Linked DNA regions of Schizosaccharomyces pombe. The gene in region 1 interacts genetically with each later gene. Each region holds a gene or a part of one and is shown in the gene's direction. Other genes may lie near its edges.

What was found. Genes that interact genetically often act in the same process or in processes that back each other up.
Region 2: mutations in bit61 (region 1) and apl5 together harm fitness less than expected from each alone (positive genetic interaction), as found in Schizosaccharomyces pombe (one large-scale study listed by BioGRID).

Annotation. Positions count from the first base shown.
Region 1 is NC_003421.2:1,606,987-1,618,102, reverse strand, and holds bit61 (Protor homolog, Bit61), read left to right. Parts: upstream 1-5,339; 5' UTR 5,340-5,538; coding exon 5,539-6,807; 3' UTR 6,808-7,056; downstream 7,057-11,116. Other genes in the region: SPOM_SPCC777.12C (ER stress response thioredoxin family membrane disulfide oxidoreductase), read left to right, coding at 57-335, 456-893; protein Gta3, read right to left, coding at 1,054-1,440; NEDD8-conjugating enzyme Ubc12, read left to right, coding at 1,985-2,075, 2,142-2,237, 2,320-2,408, 2,520-2,667, 2,915-3,024; arg1 (acetylornithine aminotransferase), read left to right, coding at 3,206-3,277, 3,526-4,779; alpha-1,2-mannosyltransferase Omh3, read right to left, coding at 7,077-7,608, 7,689-8,293; SPOM_SPCC777.06C (hydrolase), read left to right, coding at 10,371-10,707, 10,870-11,116. UniProt on the Schizosaccharomyces pombe protein: Component of TORC2, which regulates multiple cellular processes to control cell growth in response to environmental signals. TORC2 is required for cell survival under various stress conditions.
Region 2 is NC_003424.3:4,659,480-4,670,595, forward strand, and holds apl5 (AP-3 adaptor complex subunit Apl5), read left to right. Parts: upstream 1-4,854; 5' UTR 4,855-4,907; coding exon 4,908-5,066; exon of another isoform or gene 5,067-5,106; coding exon 5,107-5,268; exon of another isoform or gene 5,269-5,319; coding exon 5,320-7,189; intron 7,190-7,234; coding exon 7,235-7,497; intron 7,498-7,536; coding exon 7,537-7,560; 3' UTR 7,561-7,914; coding exon of another isoform or gene 7,915-8,862; 3' UTR 8,863-8,929; downstream 8,930-11,116. Other genes in the region: irc20 (ATP-dependent DNA helicase), read left to right, coding at 1-3,098, 3,139-3,404, 3,443-3,642, 3,685-3,725, 3,766-4,064; GTPase Gpn2, read right to left, coding at 7,915-8,862; DNAJ domain-containing protein Jac1, read left to right, coding at 9,395-10,072; sfc2 (transcription factor TFIIIA), read right to left, coding at 10,409-11,116. UniProt on the Schizosaccharomyces pombe protein: Part of the AP-3 complex, an adaptor-related complex which is not clathrin-associated. The complex is associated with the Golgi region as well as more peripheral structures.

The DNA of each region.
Region 1 (11,116 bases):
GTTTATTATTGCTAAAGCAGCAGAGAAAATATTTTTCATTACCTTATTCAGCTTCAATGAAAATTAATTTGTTTTTTGTGTTTCTATTTGAACTTCTGCATTTCGTGGCAGCTTATAGTTGTGAAGGAGATGAATCAGCTGCCATTGAAGCTATGAATGTCTTACAGGTACCGTATGAAAAATACAACACAGACCCAGTTTGCGCTTTTGACAATTCCACCGTTGTCGAACTTTCAGATAAAACCTGGGATCATGTCATTGAATCTGGCAAATGGTTTGTGCAGTTGACTGCTGAAGGCTGTGCTAACTGTACTCTTGGAGAGCTACTTTTTAACGTAAGTAATGGACTGCATTTAATGTTGTCCAAATGCTCTTGTTATGAGATTGAATTTTGAGCCTCGGAAATAAATTAAACCATCTTTGGATTTAATTGAATCTGTACTAACTAATTTTAGGACCTTTCGCATGCTTTTCATGAAAAATATCCGGATGTCCACTTTGCCCGTGTTTACTTGAGCAGTAGCCTCGAACTTTCTGTACGCTTACTCATTTCTCGGATTCCTTCTTATTATTTCATCGATAATCAAAATTTCTACCGTGTTTCTCCTCAGGTTCTTCCCAAGAACAAGGCAATCGCCTTATATGAAAAAGACGGGTTCAAAAGTATGAAAAAAGAGCAAGGTTTTTTCTCTGTTAACGGGCCCTTGAAGTCCTTTTACTGGGTCTTTGGAAAGGCACTTGCACTTTACGGACACTTAAGTCAAAAATACACCCCTCTTGGAATGAATGTAGCTATTTTTGGGATCTCTGCCTACATAATGTATCGCTCTAGCAAAAAAGCGAAACAAAAACAAGCCGCTGCTGCTGCCGCCGCCGCTGCAAAAAAGAAATAAGCTATGTGGAAAATACTATTAGTTTTTGATAATATCAATTTTTTGAATAATTATACGAGAGTTTGTTACATGTTCTATATGTAAGGCACCGCTCTAGTAAAGGTTTATACCCTATTTGTTTCATTCCTTCCTTTTTTAACAGAACGTAGATTTTCCAACCTTATTGCTTGTTTGGAGATTCATTAGAGGAATCATCTTTTAGCTTAGAATAAACGGCAAAGTACTGCCCGTCTCTTTTCTTAGCATTCTGAAATACATTCCACGGCTCTTGATCGGGTAATGATGGTAGAGATTCCGCATTAATAGCATGATTCAAAGTACGAAATGGTTCCTTAATGAAGGATGTATCAAGTCTCTCAATTGCATGCATTTGAATGATTCCTTCGTTGAGTTTTAGAATTGTTCTTTCATTCTCTTCCTTAGAGTCTGCTTCACGAAGACCAACGAGCCTCAGCAAATGACCATACTCAGTTAAGCCAATTGGTTTGGGTGGATTTCCTTGGAGAATTCGTTTAAGTGAAACCTTTGAAGGTTTCAAAAATGGCATAGTGAAAAGGAAAATAGAGCTAATTACAAGAGAAAAATATAGTACAGGTTAAAAAAAAGATTCAATCTTAAACACTTTGTAAGTTTTTCAAATGCTTTGAAACAGCTGTCGAAGTTGTAGTCGGTTCCTACAATTTAACGACTAGGTTGTAAGTCTGGGTTTTTTTAGAATTAATAGTAAAGGAATATATTAAATCATTCGGTAAGTAAAGTCAATATAATCAGCTTCTCTAATTAGGAGAACTATTTTTCATTACTATGATAACCGTTTCCCATTCCCTAAATTTACGACATCCTGCGATGTCTGTATATAACTTTACATAGCAGTGTTCCAGTACGTAATATTGTTGAATGCTTGCGTAGAGTAACGACTTTATTAAAATTGGTTATTGCAATTGAATAAGGTAATATAAAATGCCACATTATTAGCACTTTAGGTGTCTACATGTTTCGCTATTTTTTAATGATGTATGAGAGTATTGTTTATACCCAAAATTGTAAGCGCATTTTCCATCCTTCTGCCTATTACAAGAATCGCGTAAATCATGAGAAAAATTTGGGAATTAAAAAAGAAAGAAGCTCAAAAAGAGAAAAATGCGTCAGGGATTAGTCCAGCACAAATCCGAATCCAAAAAGGTGCGACTCATCATGTTGATAACTTTTCGCGATTTACTCGAAACTAACCATTTTCGATGAATTTAGACGTTACAGATTTAGAAATCCCATCTACGATGTCTACAAGCTGGCCAGATCCTATAAAATTGAACGTGCTACATTTAGAAATCCGGCCTGACGAAGGTAAGTTTGTGATTCCGCATGAAAGAATATTTGGTGTAGACTTTTTGAGACTATTATTTTTTATTTTGATTAACATGAAAAGGGTATTACAAGGGTGGGAAATTTAAATTTCGAATCCAAATCGACGATAATTATCCTCATGATCCTCCTAAGGTTAAATGTCTAAACAAAGTATGTCAGTCATGCTCTAAATTAGAGTTGCAGCTTATGGTATATTTTTTGCATTTAAGAAAATAACCATTATAACATGTTTTGAACCCTTTCGTTCTGACCTACTGTTAGATCTATCACCCAAATATCGATATTGAGGGAAACGTATGCCTCAATATTCTGCGTCAGGATTGGAATCCAGTGTTGAATTTGAATTCTATTTTGGTTGGATTGCAATTTTTATTCTTGTCACCAAACGCAGAAGATCCACTCAACAAAGGTAGGTTAATTACAATTTTTTGGGGGGCAATGAACTATTTCTTGTTATTGCATTACAAGGAAATGATTATTCATCTCTTAACTATCATTTGATACTCATTTTTTCTACGATCCTTTATTATGGGATTTATAAGGTTCTTTACTGAGGACAATGATTATGATAAGCAATTTTAATATAAGAAATCTGGTTTGCTCCTTAACAAATTTTCTAGATTTATTTAACTATACTAACAAACGATATCTTTTAGAGGCGGCGGCTGATTTGCATAAAGACCCTCAAGGATTTGCATCTCGTGTGCGTACAGCCATGAAAGGTGGTCTTGTGAATGGAATTTCTTTTGACAATGTCATGGCTTAATTTTTCATCAATCTAAATCAATTCGATAAAGATAACCGACATAGATTAGACGACTGTCATGAAAATATTGATGTGTTTTAAATCTCGCTAAATCAGTCACGATTACGATGAACTTCCGATATCAGTATAAAAACACATAACCAGAACCAAACCCCCCTAATAAGCCCGTAACTGCTTTACAATGTTTCAAAGACGATCACTTCTCTCTGTTCGTTCGTCTGGTTCCCAAATCGCCTTTCGTCGATTTGTCAGCGTAAGTACAAGTTTGTTGATAGAGTATGCATTGTAAGTGCAACTGAACATACGATGGCAAATAATTAGACTATCATCTAATTCTGATTGTTTTCGAGAATTCTGTACTTTGCTCTTGTTTTTAGACAAGTATTGATGTTGAGAATGCTTCTTACTGACCCAACAAAATAAATCTTCATTTGTGCTTTCATACTGCCTCATACAGTACTAATTTTAATATTTCTTAAACTGCTTATTAACCAAGTTTAGCTTACCCACAAAGATCCAACTCCTGATACAACCAGTTGCAATATTATCAAGAAGGAAGGGGCGAATATTATATCAGTTTATGCACGCTATCCAGTCGTAGCTGCTAAAGGTGAGGGCTCCTATTTGTTTGACAAGGAAGGTCGTAAATACATTGACTTCACCTCTGGCGTAGCTGTTACATCTTTGGGTCATGCTCATCCTGAAGTTGCTAGACTTGCCGCTGATCAATGCTCCAAATTAGTCCATAGTAGCAACCTTTTCTACAACGAGCCTGCCATTGAGCTATCTAATGTCATTAATAATTCTTTGGCAAAAAATAGCGGTATTGCTGGCCCCACAAAAATTTTCTTTGCCAATTGTGGTACTGAGGCCAATGAGACAGCCTTGAAGTTCGCTCGTAAGGCAGCGTTTGAGAAGTATGGAGAAGGGAAGAGTCAAATTGTTTACTTTAATAACTCTTTCCACGGCCGTTCTTTGGGATCTCTTAGTATCACTGCGAACCCCAAATATAAACGTGGTTTCCAACCATTACTTCCTGATGTCGTCCAAGCCGTCTATAATGACCCTGCATCCATAGAGCAATTTGTCAATGACAAAACTGCGGCTGTTATTGTCGAGCCCGTTCAAGGTGAAGGTGGTATTTGTCCTGCCAAGCCTGAATTTTTGATTGCTTTGCGCAAGGCCTGTGATAAGGTTGGTGCTTCTTTAATCTATGATGAAATTCAATGCGGACTTGGTCGCAGCGGTGATCTTTGGGCCCATAGTATCGTTAAGGATGTCGCTAGTCCCGATATTATCACAGTTGCCAAACCTTTGGCTAATGGTCTACCTATCGGCGCCACCATTGTCTCCAGTAAGATCGCTGCTGAAATTCACCCTGGTGAACATGGCAGTACTTTCGGAGGTAATCCTGTTGCTTGCCGTGTAGGCACATTCTGTGTTAATGAATTAGGGTCATCCAAGATTCTACAAAACGTTAGAAAGCAACACAAGGCTCTTACTTCACGTTTTGATGACTTTGTTGCCAAATACCCTAATCTTATTCGTGGATATGCTGGTCGTGGTCTTCTTCTTGGTTTGCAATTTACCGAGCCCCCTGCTAAATTTATTGAGCTTGCTCGTCAACAAGGTCTTTTACTCTTACCAGGTGGAAACAACAACACCCGTGTCCTTCCTAGTTTGAATGTTAAAGATGAGGTTATTGCTAAGGGTTTGGATATCATGGAGAGCACTTTGAAGGCTTTAAGTAAGTAAAAGTGTATGTTTTCGTAGACTTGGTCATTGAATGGATTGGTTATATAGTGCGATAAAAAGTGATTATTACGAGAAATCTTGTTCCTCGAAAACATATATTAACCTTGCTCTCATTTGCCAACCAAAAAATTTTTTGATAGGGGGGTTACGAAAAGCTTAGCTGGAAGCTTTACATTGTAAATACTGGTTTTCGTTATTCCCTTTCTTTTCATAATCAATTTTGTTTACATTTTTTGTTAGAAAATTAGATATATATTGTTGTTTTTCATCTACTAAACTGAATTGTCGTAATATGTACCGTAAATACTCTGTCAAATGATAGTAATTCACAAAATCAATGTTTTTTTACTGCGTTTTCTATTACTAACTTTTAAAAAGTTATATAGCAAATAACATTCCATGTTTTCTTTTAGCATTAACTATTTTTTTCTTTGGCATACAATTATTATATCAACATGCTATTCATTCAATTCACATTAGAACGATATCGTTATAAGGAATTCTTAATCAATTTTTCGTTTCTATATTTTATCTTAATTTAAGGCGCACATCGATACTTTAGCAAAATACCACCATATTCAAAAATAAACAAAATTTTTTATCTTTCTAAAAAATATCATTTTTTTAAGTAAGTTTAATCATTTTATAATGATTGAACAATGAATATCATCTCATGCTTATTTTGAAGAATCGCATTTCGCGTAACTAAAAGCAAATTTCTTGGATACCCTCAGTACATTTCCAAAAATATTACTAAAGATGGTAGGGAGGGGATCTTTTTCATCTACCTCGAGCGCCTCATCCATTAATTGGATTCCAAAAAACACTAAAACTAGCATTGAAAGTGTTTCTAACACTATTTCGTTGTCGGAAAATGGGCAGAACCAAGACTTGGAGACTGTTACTACTAAGGAATCAAACGTTGGCGACTCTGACACGACTGAAAACATTAAAAGTCCGTTTAATGGACAATGGCCATTTAGCAGAAGATCTAGTCAAAGTAGCAGTCATCCGGTTTTTGAGGAAACACATTGGAGTAAGCATTCCAAGCGCCCAGGAAAGTTGAACGTTTTAACGCCTACTAGCCCTTCTAATGTTAATGCCGAAGTTCAAAGTATTTCTACGAAAACTCAATTATCGCTGCTTAACCTCTCTCCGCATAAGCATAAAAAGCCTAAAGATGGTTTAGATCTTTCTGCTTTGCAGAAAACGCTCAACGGGTCTCGAAATTTCTTAAGAGGAAGAAGAGACGCTGGGGGAATTTTTGGCGCTTCCATCCCACAATCACTTGTTACAAATCAAATAATCAATGGCTTCGGTGCAGCCTCTCTTGCATTTGCTAAATTGGGCAAAGTTCGCTCTCCTTTAGAAGGTCGCTTTAACCTGGTTCCCATATCCGCGGATGAAACTTGGCTTATTGTGGAATCCGAAGTTTGTAGTTTATATTCGGGTGAGGCTTTGCACTATTCTCTTGAAGATTTGAATGGAATTCTTATATTACATTTACAAGCTCTTATCCGTGATACGAAGATGAATGAGTTTGTTGGACACTTGGAGACACTATTCCGTAAGGCTACCAAGTGCCTTTCGGACAGTTTATCGCCTGTTCCAGAAGAATTATTTTTGAATCGTATCATAGAAACATGGCTGTTTTTCTTTTCTTCCGTATTGCCATACGTTCAAGGTGTGTTTTTACCTATAAAGACAAAATTGTTTGATGAACAAGAAAAAACACAATTACCCTATGAAGTAAATGAGTTTTGTTCCACAAATAGGGAAAAACTAAATGTCCATCGTCTTGCATTGATGACATTTCGCGATTATATGGTTTTGCCAATTGCAAATCGGATACAAATCTGTATTGGGCGTGCCGAATCTGCTGAAAATGCTTTAGATAATGCAGGAGAGGTGTTCGCTCGACTGTTTCAGATATTAAGTTTGTTGGCAAGTGTACGAACGAACGATTCCAAGGAACAAGAAATTACTAATTTGGCAACTAAAGTCAGATGCCTGTTGATAGCTTCCTAAATTCATTCTTAGATTTTTTATATTATTTTTCCTTTTTAAAATCGTTTCAGTTTTTTTTTTTACCTTCTTATTTTATAGGGTCCACACTTTTCAATATTTGCAAATTGTTCTAAAACTTAAAAAATTTGTGTCAATACTTGATATTCCCAGTCTTTTGTTTTCATCATTAGTTAACGATCAGCTTTTGTTTATGTCCACAATAAATATGTTTTTAAAACAAATATCAAAAATAAAATAGGTAATCTCGGGAATTACAAGTAATATGTATTTTAACTATTGATGTTTTCTAACCATTTAATAGCACAAGAGAAGGGTAAATAATCAATCGTACCAGTCGGATCGCATAGACATCTAGCTGTCGCATGCGACTGTACATCCGTAGGGCAATGGTACCAGGGTAAATGGTAATAACCAAAGTCCTCAAAGTAATGTATTTGCGATTTGTTCAGAAATAGCGATGCTGCCAGTGAATGTACGGGAGCATCCCCCCAGCGCTCGTAAAAAAATCCATAATTTTTATCTAAGTGCGCAAAGTAGTCTGTGTATGCAGGACTTCGAAAGAAATTTAAATTGGCAATTTCAAAATTACTCCAAAAATGGCAGAGATTGTAGTCACCACTTAACCCCTGGTGGTCATTAACGATAAAATCCAAGGAGTTATTTTGTGCAAGATATTGTGGGTTTTGGTGAATAAAATCTCGAGTAACGTTCCATAAAGAAGGGAGGGTTTCATAATAATCCGTCATTGATATGACAAACCCATACGCCTTATTCTCGTCACTCAACTTTCGAAAAGGATCACTTAAAGAATTGGTTAGTGACAAAATTCTATCATATTACAAAAACAAGAGTTAAATAGTCAATTTTTCTTGTGCACTTACTAAGGTATATCGCAAGAATATTCAACGCCGGGTTCAACGCGCCAGTAATAATCATAATGTGAAAGGGCTTTGTTTCGATAAAAAAATCCTGAATTGAAGCGACACATGATCCGATAACTCAGTGAAAATCCATATATTACTTTGTCATCGGTCATATCCCGAATTGATTTCAACATACGATTTAAATCGATGTTTATAGGAATTCCCCACTCTTCGTTGTTGAGTTGGACATAGGTAGCATCCCCACTCACCATTTTTGAAGTAGCTGTTATAAATTCTTTAGTAAAAGGGGCATCATTCATAAATGTCCATGGGTAATGATAGCGATGATTGAACCGATCCTCGACGCTTTGTATGGAAACAAGAGCGTCCTTAATGTCTCTATTACGGCAAAGCATAAACAAAGTAGCGTTCATATTGGGCTGCTTAGGAAAATAATCTGAATCTGTCAAGGATGACTCTCCTCTTTGCTTTGCTGTGGCTTTTTTTAGAAATACATACTTGACTTTTAGTTCCTTAGGCCCATCTTTAGAAGACTGTAAATAGAATGAAATAATGCAGAATAATAGTATACAAAAATAAATTGATGATTTGGGTATGCCCATGTTGAAGTCATGAATATGGCCCCCTTATATTAGGATTTCTTATTAAATCGCGGAAGTTTTTTTTTTATTGATTGTGAATGAACTTTATAACATGGTTCGATTGTGTAAGATACGCCAGTTTGCAATATTTTCGCAAGCAATCAATCTGATATGAAATAACTCGTTGGACTAAATCAACATTAGATTTGTAAACAATCAGTAACAATTTTGGTTTATAAACGATCATTTGGGAATGTTTTAAATTTCAGCTTTTGCTAATTCCAAACAAAGTCTTTAGAAAGATAGAGGGATTGTTTTTTAACTGGTTATGCAATATACAGCTCAAAACTGTTCCACTCTTTCACACTTTTTCTCTCTTACCTTCTAGTTAAGGATACCAGAACAACATATATTTAAAATTATTTTCCACAATTGGTAACTTCTAGGCAAAGGTAAACGATTCGAGATATACTGTAAACGTTGCTCGAAATGAAATAATCGTCAAAGGTTGGAATATCCATATTTGAACAAGTATGGTTGGTGTAGCGGATTGTCTTACTGTACGTTATTCGATAAACATTGAATAGCTTTTTTTTTTTAACTGAGGTTACGCAAAGAAACAATTTAATGGAAAGTAGTTCATTTTAAATACACTCAATTCTCGTTTCTTTTTAACAGCTCCGTCCATGGCAGATTAGCGCCTATAATAATGAATAACCCCAAATAATTTGCATAATTCTGAGAAAGTAGTTTTGCTAGCTAGTATCCTAGGTTCACTTTTTTAGTTTTTTTAGTACAATAATTTTGAAGCTTTACCAAAGATTCCACCATAACATAAACAAATATTTAAACTCAACCAGCTCGAAATTCAGTAACGCGCTCTACCATATTTTGGAATACATATGAACTCTCTTGACATTAATCTTGGGAATAGTAGTTCTTGAAAAGTCATAAACAGAGGATTTAGGTTTTCTTGGTGATTTCTATTAACTACCAGCTAAAATACTCGGCTCAAACTGTATGATGGCAAGTATATTATACTACACTCGCTTCGCAAATACCTTATGCTTGATAAAGTTTTACAAGCGATGAATGATTTTTTATTTTATTTTCTTTATTTTTATTTGTATTTTATATTCATTTAATATATGTATATATTATTAATTTATTTTACTTTGTCGTAGTCAATTTTTTTTTTATTTTACAGTGATTCATTGCTTCTATAATTTTTAAAACAATCCAGAATATTTAAATTATAGTGTCTAGATATAACAAATGAATTCGATATCTCACGAATTGATTGCTATTATATATACTTTGAAAATAGCAAGTGAACTTTTGTTTTTACGAGGAATTTTTCTTTACAATGTCTTTTTTTCCTTTTTTCCATTACTTTCAAAGTTTATTCAAAATCAATATTGTTTTACTAATACTGCAACAAGCAATGTATAGTAATCAGCAGTTACAAATATATCAAAAATTGTTATAATAATTCATGAGTGTGTAATTCAGTAATTAATTAAAATATTTGATATCCAATTGTTTATTTCGTAGTATTTAGAAATTCATTCGTAGTCGCAACACATCTAGTTCTTAAAAGATGTTTTTAAATTAAATATTTCGAAAGTTTAATTATTGGTTTACCAATGTTTTGTATTTGCATTTACGTTGTCTTAACGTACAATTAAAATTTAATTATTTTATGAATTTCATTTACCAATTGATTTTATACCGCAGCGAGGAAATAAATAATCGCTAAACCGTATATTGTAAAACTAAACAATTCGATATTAGAAAGATTACGCGATTTTTATCATTCGTTATTCAGTGATTATTAATGCGCGGCAGGCCTTGAAATATGTTTCTGCAAATTTAAACACTCGCTATCCATATTTTAGAATTAATTTTTCATTCATTCAATTGGCAATATATATTATACTACCAATTGATTTTTTTTTCATATATCCTAGTTTTGTTTCAACTGGGAAGAAATCCAAGTAGTGAATTCTTGGAAATTTAGTCGTTCATTTGAAACGTGTGCTTATTGACGAGGTATTGAAAGGTGAATTATTCGGAAATCTCTTTTATACCGGATAAGATGACCAAGGGAACAAGTAAACTGCTTTTCATGGGGACTGGTTGCTCTAGTGGTATTCCCAATGTATGTTGTTTGACACTTGAAAAACCAACTTGCCGTACTTGCCTCGCAAGTTTAACACCAGAAGGTCGTAAAAATAACCGGTTTAATACAAGCGTGTTATTACAGGTGGATGATGGGAGTGGAGATCGTCCAAAAAACATCTTAATCGACTGTGGAAAACATTTTTATGTTAGCGCATTGAAACATTTTGTGGAGCACAAAATTCGATATCTTGATGCAGTCATCTTGACACATGATCATGCAGATGCCATCAATGGAATGGACGATTTACGAGGTAAGAATTTATGATGAACATTGCTAAAGATAATGGTAAATTGTATCGCATAGGTCTTTAATTGTTATGTGATTATCGTGGTATAAACCATTTTTTTTTTACTTTAGACGTTGTTGATTACTTTAGACTGTTGAAGTTTACTAACCGTTTGTTGCATTGTAGAATGGACCTTGGGCTTTTTACAACCTTCTGTCAAAATATACCTAACTGAAAGAACTTATAAAGTTATTGAAAGGTCATTTCCCTATATGGTTAACGCCAAAAATGCTACTGGAGGTGGAAGCGTGCCTACTTTTGACTTCCACGTCTTTTCTCCAGACAAACCATTTAAGCTCGACGATATTGACATATCTGTTACTCCTTTACCTGTTCATCATGGCGTATACTTCATCGAAGGAAAGGAAAGTCA
Region 2 (11,116 bases), on another chromosome or scaffold:
TAGTTTTACTCAAAGAAAAATTTCATTGGCCAAAAACTTGATTCCTTTGTTTTCTGTCGACTTGAATAAGGATACTTACTCTGCTTTAAAAGCACCTCTCAAAATTTGGAGTAAGCTTTGGGAGGATAATAGGCGGCTGAAGAAAATTATAAAATACACATCTTATGTTACTGTAAAAGGATCCGAGTTAATTTTGTCGTTTGGCATTTCCATACTCGACTCTTTTCTTGCCCCTCAAGATGCGATTCTTTCATCTGGATCATCTTCCTCATACACTGCTTTACTAGACTATACGTTCCTTCCGTCTGAAGATGAGGAATATTCTTGTTTAGATATTAACACTGCACTATTTTACGATTGTGCAAGAAAATTGGCAAAAAGCCTACGTTTCGCCAATGTATCACGCGATCCAAGGCTTTCTTCGGAACTTTTACCATTTCAAATGCGTGTTTTAGAATGGATGAAACGAAGAGAAGAAGAGAAATTCCTAACCTCAAATGATTTACCACCTCTATGGTACCATTGCAAAAGTCTTTTTGATGATCGAATGGTTTACGTTAATCATGTTTACGGCTATATGACATTTTCGAAAGAAAAAACATATTTGCTTGCGTCCGGTGATATACGTGGAGGCATTTTAGCCGATGAAATGGGCATGGGAAAAACTTTGGAAGTCTTAGGATTAGTTTTGCATCATCAGTTGCCAATTTCTTTGACTGATACTTGTACTTTCGATCAGGTCGTCGGAAAAAATGTAAAGTATTCCAAGGCCACCCTAATAATTACGCCTTCTACAATTCTCGATCAATGGTTATCTGAGATAGATTTGCATGTGCCATCATTGAAAGTATTCCATTACCAAGGAATCCGAAAATCCAATGGTTTGAAATCAGCTAAAATTTTTTTGGATTGTGATATAGTGGTAACATCTTATTCTGATTTACGGTTTGAGCTATTGTACACTGAATCTCATTCCAGGACCTTAAGACATGAAAAGCGACATGTTTCTCCAAAGTCTCCATTGATTGATGTATGTTGGTGGAGAATTTGTGTTGATGAAGCTCAGATGGTTGAAACTTCACAGAGTAATGTCGCACAAATGATTTATCGCATACCTCGTGTCAATTGTTGGACTGTAAGTGGAACTCCCGTACGTAGTGAAGTTGATGACCTTTTTGGCCTTTTATTTCTTCTTCGCTACTCCCCTATGTATTTATACAAAAAACAAGCTTGGATGCAAATTATAGAGAAGAAACGTGTTCGTGAATTTTGCGATCTGTTTGGCTCCCTTGTATGCAGACATTCTAAACAGGACGTTGAAGAAGAATTAAAATTACCTCCTCAACATCGAATCTGCATGACTACAAGACTTAGTGTAGTAGAAGAAACGAACTACCAGGATTTATTATCAGAGGCGGCCAAGTCTTTGCACTTTTTCAAAGACAGAAATTTGGATTTGTGTGACGAAGAATCTATGAGGCGTTGGTTGGTTCGTTTACGACAGGCATGTTGCCATCCGCAGGTTGGATTTGGTAACAAATCCGCATTTGGAGGTGGACCCATGAAAAGCATTAATGATGTATTAGTTTTTATGTTGGAACAAACAAACTCTACATTCTCCTCGTTAAACAGGAAGCTTTATTCCGATAAGATTATTGTTGGTCAAATATATGATCATATTAAAGACTATAATAAAGCATTGGCTATTTGGTCTGAAGTCAGAATACCTGTCGAGCTCGCTGTCAAAGAATTAGAAAATGTTATTTACAACTCTAAATATGAGGACCATGGTAAAAATTTACCGATTAATTATTTTGGTTTGGATCATTTCATTCATCTGCGTGTTTGGTATGTTCTATTGCATAAAATATACTTTTTTATAGCAAGCGCTTATTTTTCTTTAAAAAACGAAAAGTTTGAAAATGAATTTTATTTGCTCGCGCAGGATTTAAGAAGGAAGATTATGAGTGATGTGATTATCAAAACCAGCAAGCACCTTGAAGAGTTTTCAGAAAAATTTATTCCAAAGAAACTTGTCAAAATACCACGATTACAGAAATCTTACGCAAAAGGTCTCATAACCGGACATGGTATAATTGAAGACTATAATAGACTTTATAAAGAGTTGAATGATCAAAAGGAGGTGCTTATAAAATTTAGAGATCGGCTTATCCATTTGATGAAACTTCCACTTCTGGATCAAGAATCGGATCCGACCGGCGATGAATACGAAGAATCATTGAATGCGCAATCAGAGATATCCTATTGTATTGATGTTTACCGTCAAATGCTTTCAGATCGAGTAGCGGCAGTCAGCGGTACTATTAATACCTTTGTGTCTCATGAAACAGAACTTGAGAAATACAAACTTATAGAGAGTATAAAAAAATCGGAGAAATCGTTAGACAAGCAGGCTGAAGAACGTGATAAAAAATATTTGCTTTACTTTGAGGAAAGGGAAGAAGCAAGGCCAAAAGCAGATCAATACGGATCATTAATAAATATAGTTTCAAGACTGTTAGATGCATCAAATAGATCCACCTCAAGTTTTGAAACTTCTAAAAACATGGAAGAATATGAACGGATTGATGCAATGGCAAAGGAGCAATCTAGAATTTGCCAAAAATTGGAAAAAGAATTGAGTATAATTCAGTTGACTTATAATTCAAGGATTGAGTACTATAAACAGCTGCAGGAAATTTCTGACTCTTTGATGCCTCCTCCCGTTTCAAATATCAGTTTAAACAATTACGTTAAAGACGACGAAAAAAAACAAAAATTTTTGAACTCTGTTATAATTAAAGCTTCGGTGATTTTGGAAAAAGAAATTTCAGAAAAGCAGGACGAAGCAAGTCAAACAACAAACGTAGCAGAACTCGTCAATCAAAAAATATCCGAAATGAATATACCTGGACATATCCATCTGCTGCGAGAGCTAGAAGAGGAAAAAAGCAATACCCAACGTAAAATTGCTCACTTCGAATCAAGGAGAAGGTATTTAACAAACCTATATGAACATATTGTCCTTAAAGCTGAATCTCATCAGATTTGTATAATTTGTCGTGATATAATTAAGCAAGGTTTTATAACAACTTGTGGTAAGTATTTGTTGGATCGTTTATCTAGTTAACTTGTTAGGCCATTTGTACTGTAGTTTTTGTTTGGAAGCGTGGTTGAAGCATAGTTCGTCGTGTCCAATGTGCAAAACCAAATTGAACAAAAATAATGCTTACTATATTGGCGAAAGTAGGGATATATACTCTCGTCAAGAGTTTGTCACTGGTTTCAACAAACGAGACGAAAGGCTTGAAATTCTCGACGATGAAGCATACAGGCAAATTTCTAATATGGAGTTAAAGGAGTCATTTGGATCAAAAATTGACACAATATCTAAACATCTTTTGGTAAGCAACATTTGTATTTAGAGTGGATCTAACTTTAGTATTTGAAACATAACGAACTTTATCCTAAAGTTGTTGTATTCTCTCAATGGCTTGATGTTTTGGATGTTTTGCACAAGTCATTTGAAGCGAATGGTATCGTCTTCATACGTTTTGATGGAAAGTCAAAGAACACTTGCCTAAAAAGGTTTAAAGAAGAACGTAGCTTACAAGTACTTACTTTACATGCAAGATCGCAATCGTATGTTTAAACTGTTTAATTATTTGTTCTAATCTTCATTAGATCTGGTTTGACGTTAACAAATGCCACTCACGTTTTCATGTGTACGTCGATATCTGTATTAACAAGTTTTAACATTGACAGGTGAACCATTACTAAATAGTGGAATTGAAATGCAAGCAATTTCACGCGTTCATCGAATTGGGCAAACTCGTCCGACGTTTGTTTACTACTACATTGTGGAAGATACTGTTGAAGGTCATATTTTAAATCTTTCATTGACCAAACATGAGCAGCTTGACAAACTAGGTTTGGATGTACCGCTAGTTGGTAATATCAATCGCACTACTGAAGCTAGCAGCGGCGGAGAACAAGTTGATGCCGCAGAAATTAAAGATTGTCTTAAAATGGCTTTAAAGCGGCTCACCACAGAGGATTCATGAACATGAAAAAATTGATTTTAGAGAATGATGCTGATAGGTCAGGTTTAAACAGAATAAACGGCAATACTGTACTACTTATTGGTGACAGTGATGTATGGTTAATCCTGAAGTACCCCTTCGCTCAATACTGTTCAATTATTCATCTGTTATTAAAGCAAAGCACGAAGCATTAGTTGGTTTTCACTGGTTAGATTGTGCAAACACTTAGAGTCCGAATTACAGGAAACTTATACTTAATTTAACATTGTACTGTTGTATTAATTATAACCACTTTTTTAAATACAAACCTATGTAAATATTAGAAATTAATATAGCAAGAAAGGTCGCATTTCTCATTCTGGGTATTGGATTAAAACATATTGTCTTTGTTTTTCATTGATATCAGCGATGTTACTGGGCTATTAAATGCGATGTTAATTTATAACTATAACTATAGAATGAACATACGTTTGTGCTACGAATATACACTCGTTGTTATTAAGTTATCTTTTTTTTTTTAATAAAAATGAACAGGACTATTTGAACTATGAAACGTAAGTTCTTTTAGCATCATATTCAATTATAGTTAAACAAAATTGTTTATTACTATTAAAATAACACTGATTATCTTTGGAGACATACTTTATATCAAATTACAATAATTATTAATAAAACTCATTGCAATTTATTTTTCTCAACTGCGTTAGCTAATTCACTGCTACGCGATATAACTAATTAACGATTGCTGCTTCAGCTCGATAATTCCTTTTCGTCAAGGATACATTGCGATATAGTCTTAAGAGAGCAAACTGCATAAAGCCGGCTTTGGGATATATTTAACTGACTGTTGAATTATAAATTGTCATGGTGTTTGAAAGGACACTAATTGACCTAATTAAAGGGATAAGATCTCATGCAAATGATGAGGAAGCATTTATTGCGACTTGTTTACTAGAATGTCGAAAAGAAGCGACATCGCAGGATGCAGATCTTAAATCAGAAGCAATCTTAAAGCTTGCATATGTTCGTTCAACTTTATTTATAAAGTTACTAACAAAAGTAGCTGGAAATGTTAGGGGTGGATATTAGCTGGGCCAGTTTCCAAATCGTTGAGGTAATGTCTTCATCTAAAATTCTTCAGAAGCAGAAAGGGTATCTAGCTGCTGTCCAGTCTTTTAAACCAGATACAGACGTTTTAATGTTAACGACTAATTTGCTTAAGAAGGTATGTTTTTTTTTAATCTGTAAGTATTTACAAAGCTGACGGTTTTATTAGGATCTAATGAGCTCTAAAGTTCCAGAAATTACTCTGGCCATTGACGGTCTCTCACACTTCTCTACATTAGGCCTTGCGCGTGATTTATACCGAGACGTATTGATTCTTTTAAATCATTCCGTACCGTACGTAAGGAAACGTACAATTTTACTCCTATATCGACTATGCTTGCAGTATCCTGAAGCTATTTCAGCTTGCATTCCAAAATTACGTGAACGATTAGACGACCCTGACACTTCCGTTGTAAATGCTGCTGTCAGTGTAATTTGTGAATTAGCGAGAAGAGCTCCTAAAAATTACCTCGAGTTTGCTCCTGATCTTTTCCATCTTCTTACAACTTCCTCAAATAATTGGATGCTCATAAAGCTTATCAAATTATTTGCTTCCTTGACTCCATATGAACCTCGATTGGTGAAGAAATTGATTCCTTCTTTGACAGACATTATTGAGAATACACATGCGATGTCACTTTTATATGAGTGTATCAACACAATAGTTTCCGGTAATATGCTTGTGGGTCACTCTCAATGCGACAAATTGGCAAGCCTTTGTGCTTCAAAATTACGCGGCTTTTTTGAGGACACTGATCAGAATTTAAAATACATCGCTCTTCTTTGTCTTCGTAAGCTTGCAAATACGCATCCTTCCCTTGTTTCTGCTCAATTGGACATCATTCTTAAATGTCTGGTCGATACTGACACTTCAATTCGTTTGCGAGCTTTAGACCTTGTTAACGAAATTGTTAACAAAGAAAATATCCGTACTATCGTTAAAACTTTAATGCTCCAATTAATCGTTTCGTCGGATGAATCAGCAGTTGAAGATATTAGAAACTCAACTGCGACGCGTATAATCGAAATGACTTCTAAATCAACATACATGAATATTGCGGATTTTGAATGGCTTTTGACGGTTTATGTTGATTTAGCCAACATTCCAGGTATTGACACCGGCACATTACTAAATAACCAAATCATTGATTTATGTGTCAGAGTTAAAGCCTTGCGCCCATTTTCTGTAGATATATTTTCCCAGGCCATTTTGGATCCTTCCTATGTATCAACTACTGATTGTTCTGTATCTGAAAAGCGTACCGACATTTTACCTGCCATCATATGGTGCCTCGGTGAATATGCTGAATTTATTGAGGAATATCTTGATATACTTGATGCCTTGACTCGTCCTTCGTTTAAAAAATGTTCAAATCTTGCCCATCGCTTACTTTTACAGGCGATAACTAAAATATTCTGCCAATGGTGTCTTGAAGAGGAACCAACTTGGGGAGTAGAAAAGTTTGGCTTAGTAAAGTTATGGGTTGAGAAGATTGTTTCATTCATTGAACAATTCCTAAATTTTCAGGATATGGAAATTCAGAGAAGAGCCTCAGAATTTTACATTTTGTTTAATCAAGTCAGTGACATTGTTAACACCTCTGATACTATGGAAGTTCTTGAGTTACAAAAGAAGCCTCCATATATCGTACAAAACACTATGTATAAGCTATTTTTTGGCGAACCTTTAAATCCTGTCGCTGTAAAAGCTCAAAGAAAAGTTATGCCTGATGAAAATTTGGATTTAAACTGTCCAATAAATGGCGTAATTGAAGTACCAAAAGAGCTACTTGAAAACATCATCCAAAGTGATGATTCGTTAATTAATTTTGATACAGAAGTACCTTCCTCTGGCATAGACACGTTCTCTAAAAAGCAATTCAATAGTTTAGAGTCTGTTCCTGTACAGCGTGATTTGAGCAGTCCTTTCTACCTTTCTTCGAATCAGCACACTACGACTACTAATTCAGAACCTGAAAATTTAAATGTTGAAACGTCGATGTCAGATGAGGCTTTCAATGCTGATAAAGTGACAAAAGGTTTGTTAATGCTATTGATTATATTGTTTTTGCTAATAATTTTAGTTACAAAAAATAAGAGACGGAGAAAGATTTTTACATCACCTAGTTTACAAGCTATGGTTGTAGCCCAAGACGAAGTGCCCGAAGGAATAAGTTTGGCTGATATTGAAAACAAAGAAAACCCTTCTAATAGTAATGTATACTCCTTAATTTCTTTGGACCCTCCACTTTCTACCAATCAAGGATCAATGGGTGATATTGTGTTGGAAACAAAATCGCCAATTCGCGTTGAAAAAAAGAAATCCAAAAAAAAGAAAAAGAAAAAGGTATGACAATCACTTTACGAAGTAACTAATTATTGAAAGGAAAAAACATCCGGGAAAGAGTAAATTACTGTACTGTTGACCGCTTTTCTTTTTCATTTCGAAATGCATTGTAGATTTATCTTACTTTGAAAAGAGTCTTAAATCCAAAGAAATGTTATTTGGTGCAATTTACAAAGTGTTTATTATAAAAGTGATACATTAAATTTTTGAGATTTACAAAAAGGCTATCTCAATATTTTAAATTTTTACCAAAATTTAACTGTATGGGACTTTGCGAAGTGTGTTTACCGTTGATTGAAAGTATTGTCTTAAAACTAAAACACAGTAGCAAAAGATGAAGATGACACAAGCAAGGTTGAGTAAAATCTTTCAACTTTCAAATAATTCAATTTGCAAATCCTTAGTAGTTCAATGTCATTACCCTTCATTTTCATCTTCGTCCATGGTCGATTTTTGCTCTAATTCCCATTCATATTTGTCATATTCCTCTTTCTTGTCAATCCATCTTTCCTGAGGCGAAATACCTTGAAGAGGGTCTCCACCTTGACGAACGGCATTCACCCAAACGGCATCACCACCAATTTCTGTAGATCCATATGCATATCCACCTGCTTGATCGATTTTTCGAAGAACACGTAACATACTGGCTTTATTTTCTACTGCAACAACTTCAAAAGAAACAAGATTAAAATCTTCAACAAGTTCACAAATAGCTTTGTTTAAATCACTATAGCGCTGAAGACGTTTATCTCTATCAAGCAAAGGCGCCAAATATGAAAGGTCTTGTACTTCGGTAAAAAAATCTAGTTTCATTGGTAAAGTTCCATACGTACAAAGCAAATCAGCCTTCGACAAAATATTTACATGTGGCATGTCCAGCTGAAGCATCCCCTTTAGGCAAACAAGCAGTGCACTAACATATGCAGAAGGATTCGTGCAGCAATATGCATCTACAAGTTGTACGGACACAGGTCTATAATCCAGTTCCTTTTCCAAAGTTTTGATTATTTTTTGTAAGGAATTATGGTTTGTAAATAACTCAACTTGACCAGGGCAATCAAATATCACATATGAATCTCGATGCTTTTTTAGCTCCTTAAGCAACCATTCAACGTGATATTCAATTGCTTCCATAGCATAAATAAGTGCTCCATTTGGTCCTAAATCATAGTCTTTTTGGATCATCTCAACATCGAGAACTTTACGAATATCAATTGCGCATGGGTATTTGATAAAGTCATTTGCTGGGTCAAGATTGACGATAATACTACTCCTTCCTATGGCAGATAATAATTGGTACATTCCGAAACAGTAAGTTGATTTCCCAGAACCCGGAGGTCCAACGACCACTTGACAAAATGGCATGCTGCTCTAAAGTACAACAATTAGAACCAAATGTGTAATTCCTTTTGCAGTATATTAAAAATGTTTTTCATAAGTTTTTTGAAAGATAATACTTTTGTAGTATGTATTGATATATCAAAATTTGATATTTAAAAAAAAAAAAAGGAAAAAAAACTGAAAATACAAAGATTGGTAGAATTTCCTTAAATTTTTCAAATGTAGACGTTAAATTCACCGAACTGCCTTGGTTTTAGGAATATTTAGCTTGGAACAGAGGTTTCCAGGGTCTCTGCTTTTTAGTAAGATGTCCGAACTAATCTCACTGTTCTTAAGAGATGATTTCGAAAAACAATTGATGTTAACTTTGAATGATTATATTTCCTTATGTAATATTGAAGTTTGAGATGACATTTAAAGAGTTGTGGCAGTTATTGAAATTTGGCAATAACAACAGCAGTTACAAGTCAACTCTTGATACCTTTTTTTTTCAACTACTTGAAATTCTAATTATTCACTTTGGATTTGCATAATTTCTTTTTTTTTTGTATCATAAATGTTAAAGCAAGCTGGAAACCAGAGCTTTAGGCCCTTTATTTCTTTTGCACAGAAGAGTTTATTCAATCGACAAATTACTGGAAATCATTGGATTTTTGCTCGCTTCAAATTTTATCCTTTAAATAAAATTGTTAATTATAATCATTTTCATAGTTCATCATGCCAGTCAGAGGCTAAAAACTTTTACAAACAATTTGAAGGAGATATCTCGGATCCGCCTCCTAAAGGTCCGTTTGATATTGATTTGGGAGCATTAAAGTCAAGCTATTTAAGAAAAATGAAAACATTACATCCTGATGTTGCTCAGGGAAAAGACGCTGCCTTAGCTCAAAGAGATTCTGCAGAATTATCGAAAGCTTATAACACCTTAAAAGCTCCATTGACTCGAGCGGAATATATTCTCCAGCTTCAAGGAATTAACCCAGTTTCTGAAGATATTTCTAACAGTGACCCTGAATTTTTGATGGAAATCATGGATGTACATGAAAACATTTCCGCTTCAAGGGATTCGCCAGAGAAACTCCTACAGCTAAGTCAAGAAAATCAGGGTAGAAAAGTTCAGGAAATTAATGAAATACGGAAAGCAATGGAGTCTTCAAATTGGGATAGTGCTCTGCTATATGTCAATCGGCTCCGATATTGGAATACAATTGACAAAATCCTTCACGATTTATAATATGAATTGATTACTTAACTGTAATTACAAGATTTTATTAACAACCCTTAATTTGAAATGTGAGAGAACCCCTGTATTCAAAAATATTTGAAGCATGAAAGGTTGCATTTCTAAATCTGCATTAAAAAATTTTATATTATTCAATTCGACGATTCAAAGGTATGAGTCTCTTATATTTTAAAAGAATGTATTGACATCAAAGATTGACTAAACCAAAAGCAAAAAAAAAGATAGAGGTTGCTTATAAATTTATTATGAAGAGAAGCTAAAACATGGCTTTGTCACATTTATGCTAAACTTTTCCGTTTTAGAATAAATTGAAGTAAGGATCGTCGTTCAGTGATGGGAATTAAGGTGTCTATGCATATCATATAGCCGTTTGAACCGGTAATTGCATTCTGGAAAGGAACAGCTGTATTCTCGGGCTTCTTTATATCCATGCCCGGTAACTTCGTTGATTATTTTTTTAGCCACGTCAGATACTAAGTTTGAACTCAATTCTTTCTCTTTTTGGTCGTGAATTGCGACCCCCTCTATTCCATCATGTTTGATTCCACATTCATTAATGTATGGTTTATGAGCTTTTTTACAAGTGCCGCGCTCCAGGTGTCGTTGCAGCATATGTTTATATCCAAATTTGGTACCACAGCTATCACAATGAAATGCCATATTACCTTCGTGTATTACAGATATGTGTTTCTTTAGAGCAGAAGAGCGTGTAAAAGATTTCTTACATCCTTCCATTGGGCAATGATACGTCTTCCTTTCTTCCAAAGTTGTTTGATGAAGTACAACATGGTGTCGAAGGTGTGCTGCGGTTTTAAATTGCCGTCCACAAATTGAACAACTGGGAACATGGGCCTCCCGAATGTGATTTTGTAACTGACTCCATTTTTCAAAACCCTCATGTCCGACACATGATTCATGAGGACAACTGTAACTGATAATTTTTTCATGAGCCCGGTTGACATGATTTTGTAGTTTCTGCTTTGTAGCAAACCTTAGTTCACAATCTTGATACGTACAAGGATAAGGCAAAAGATG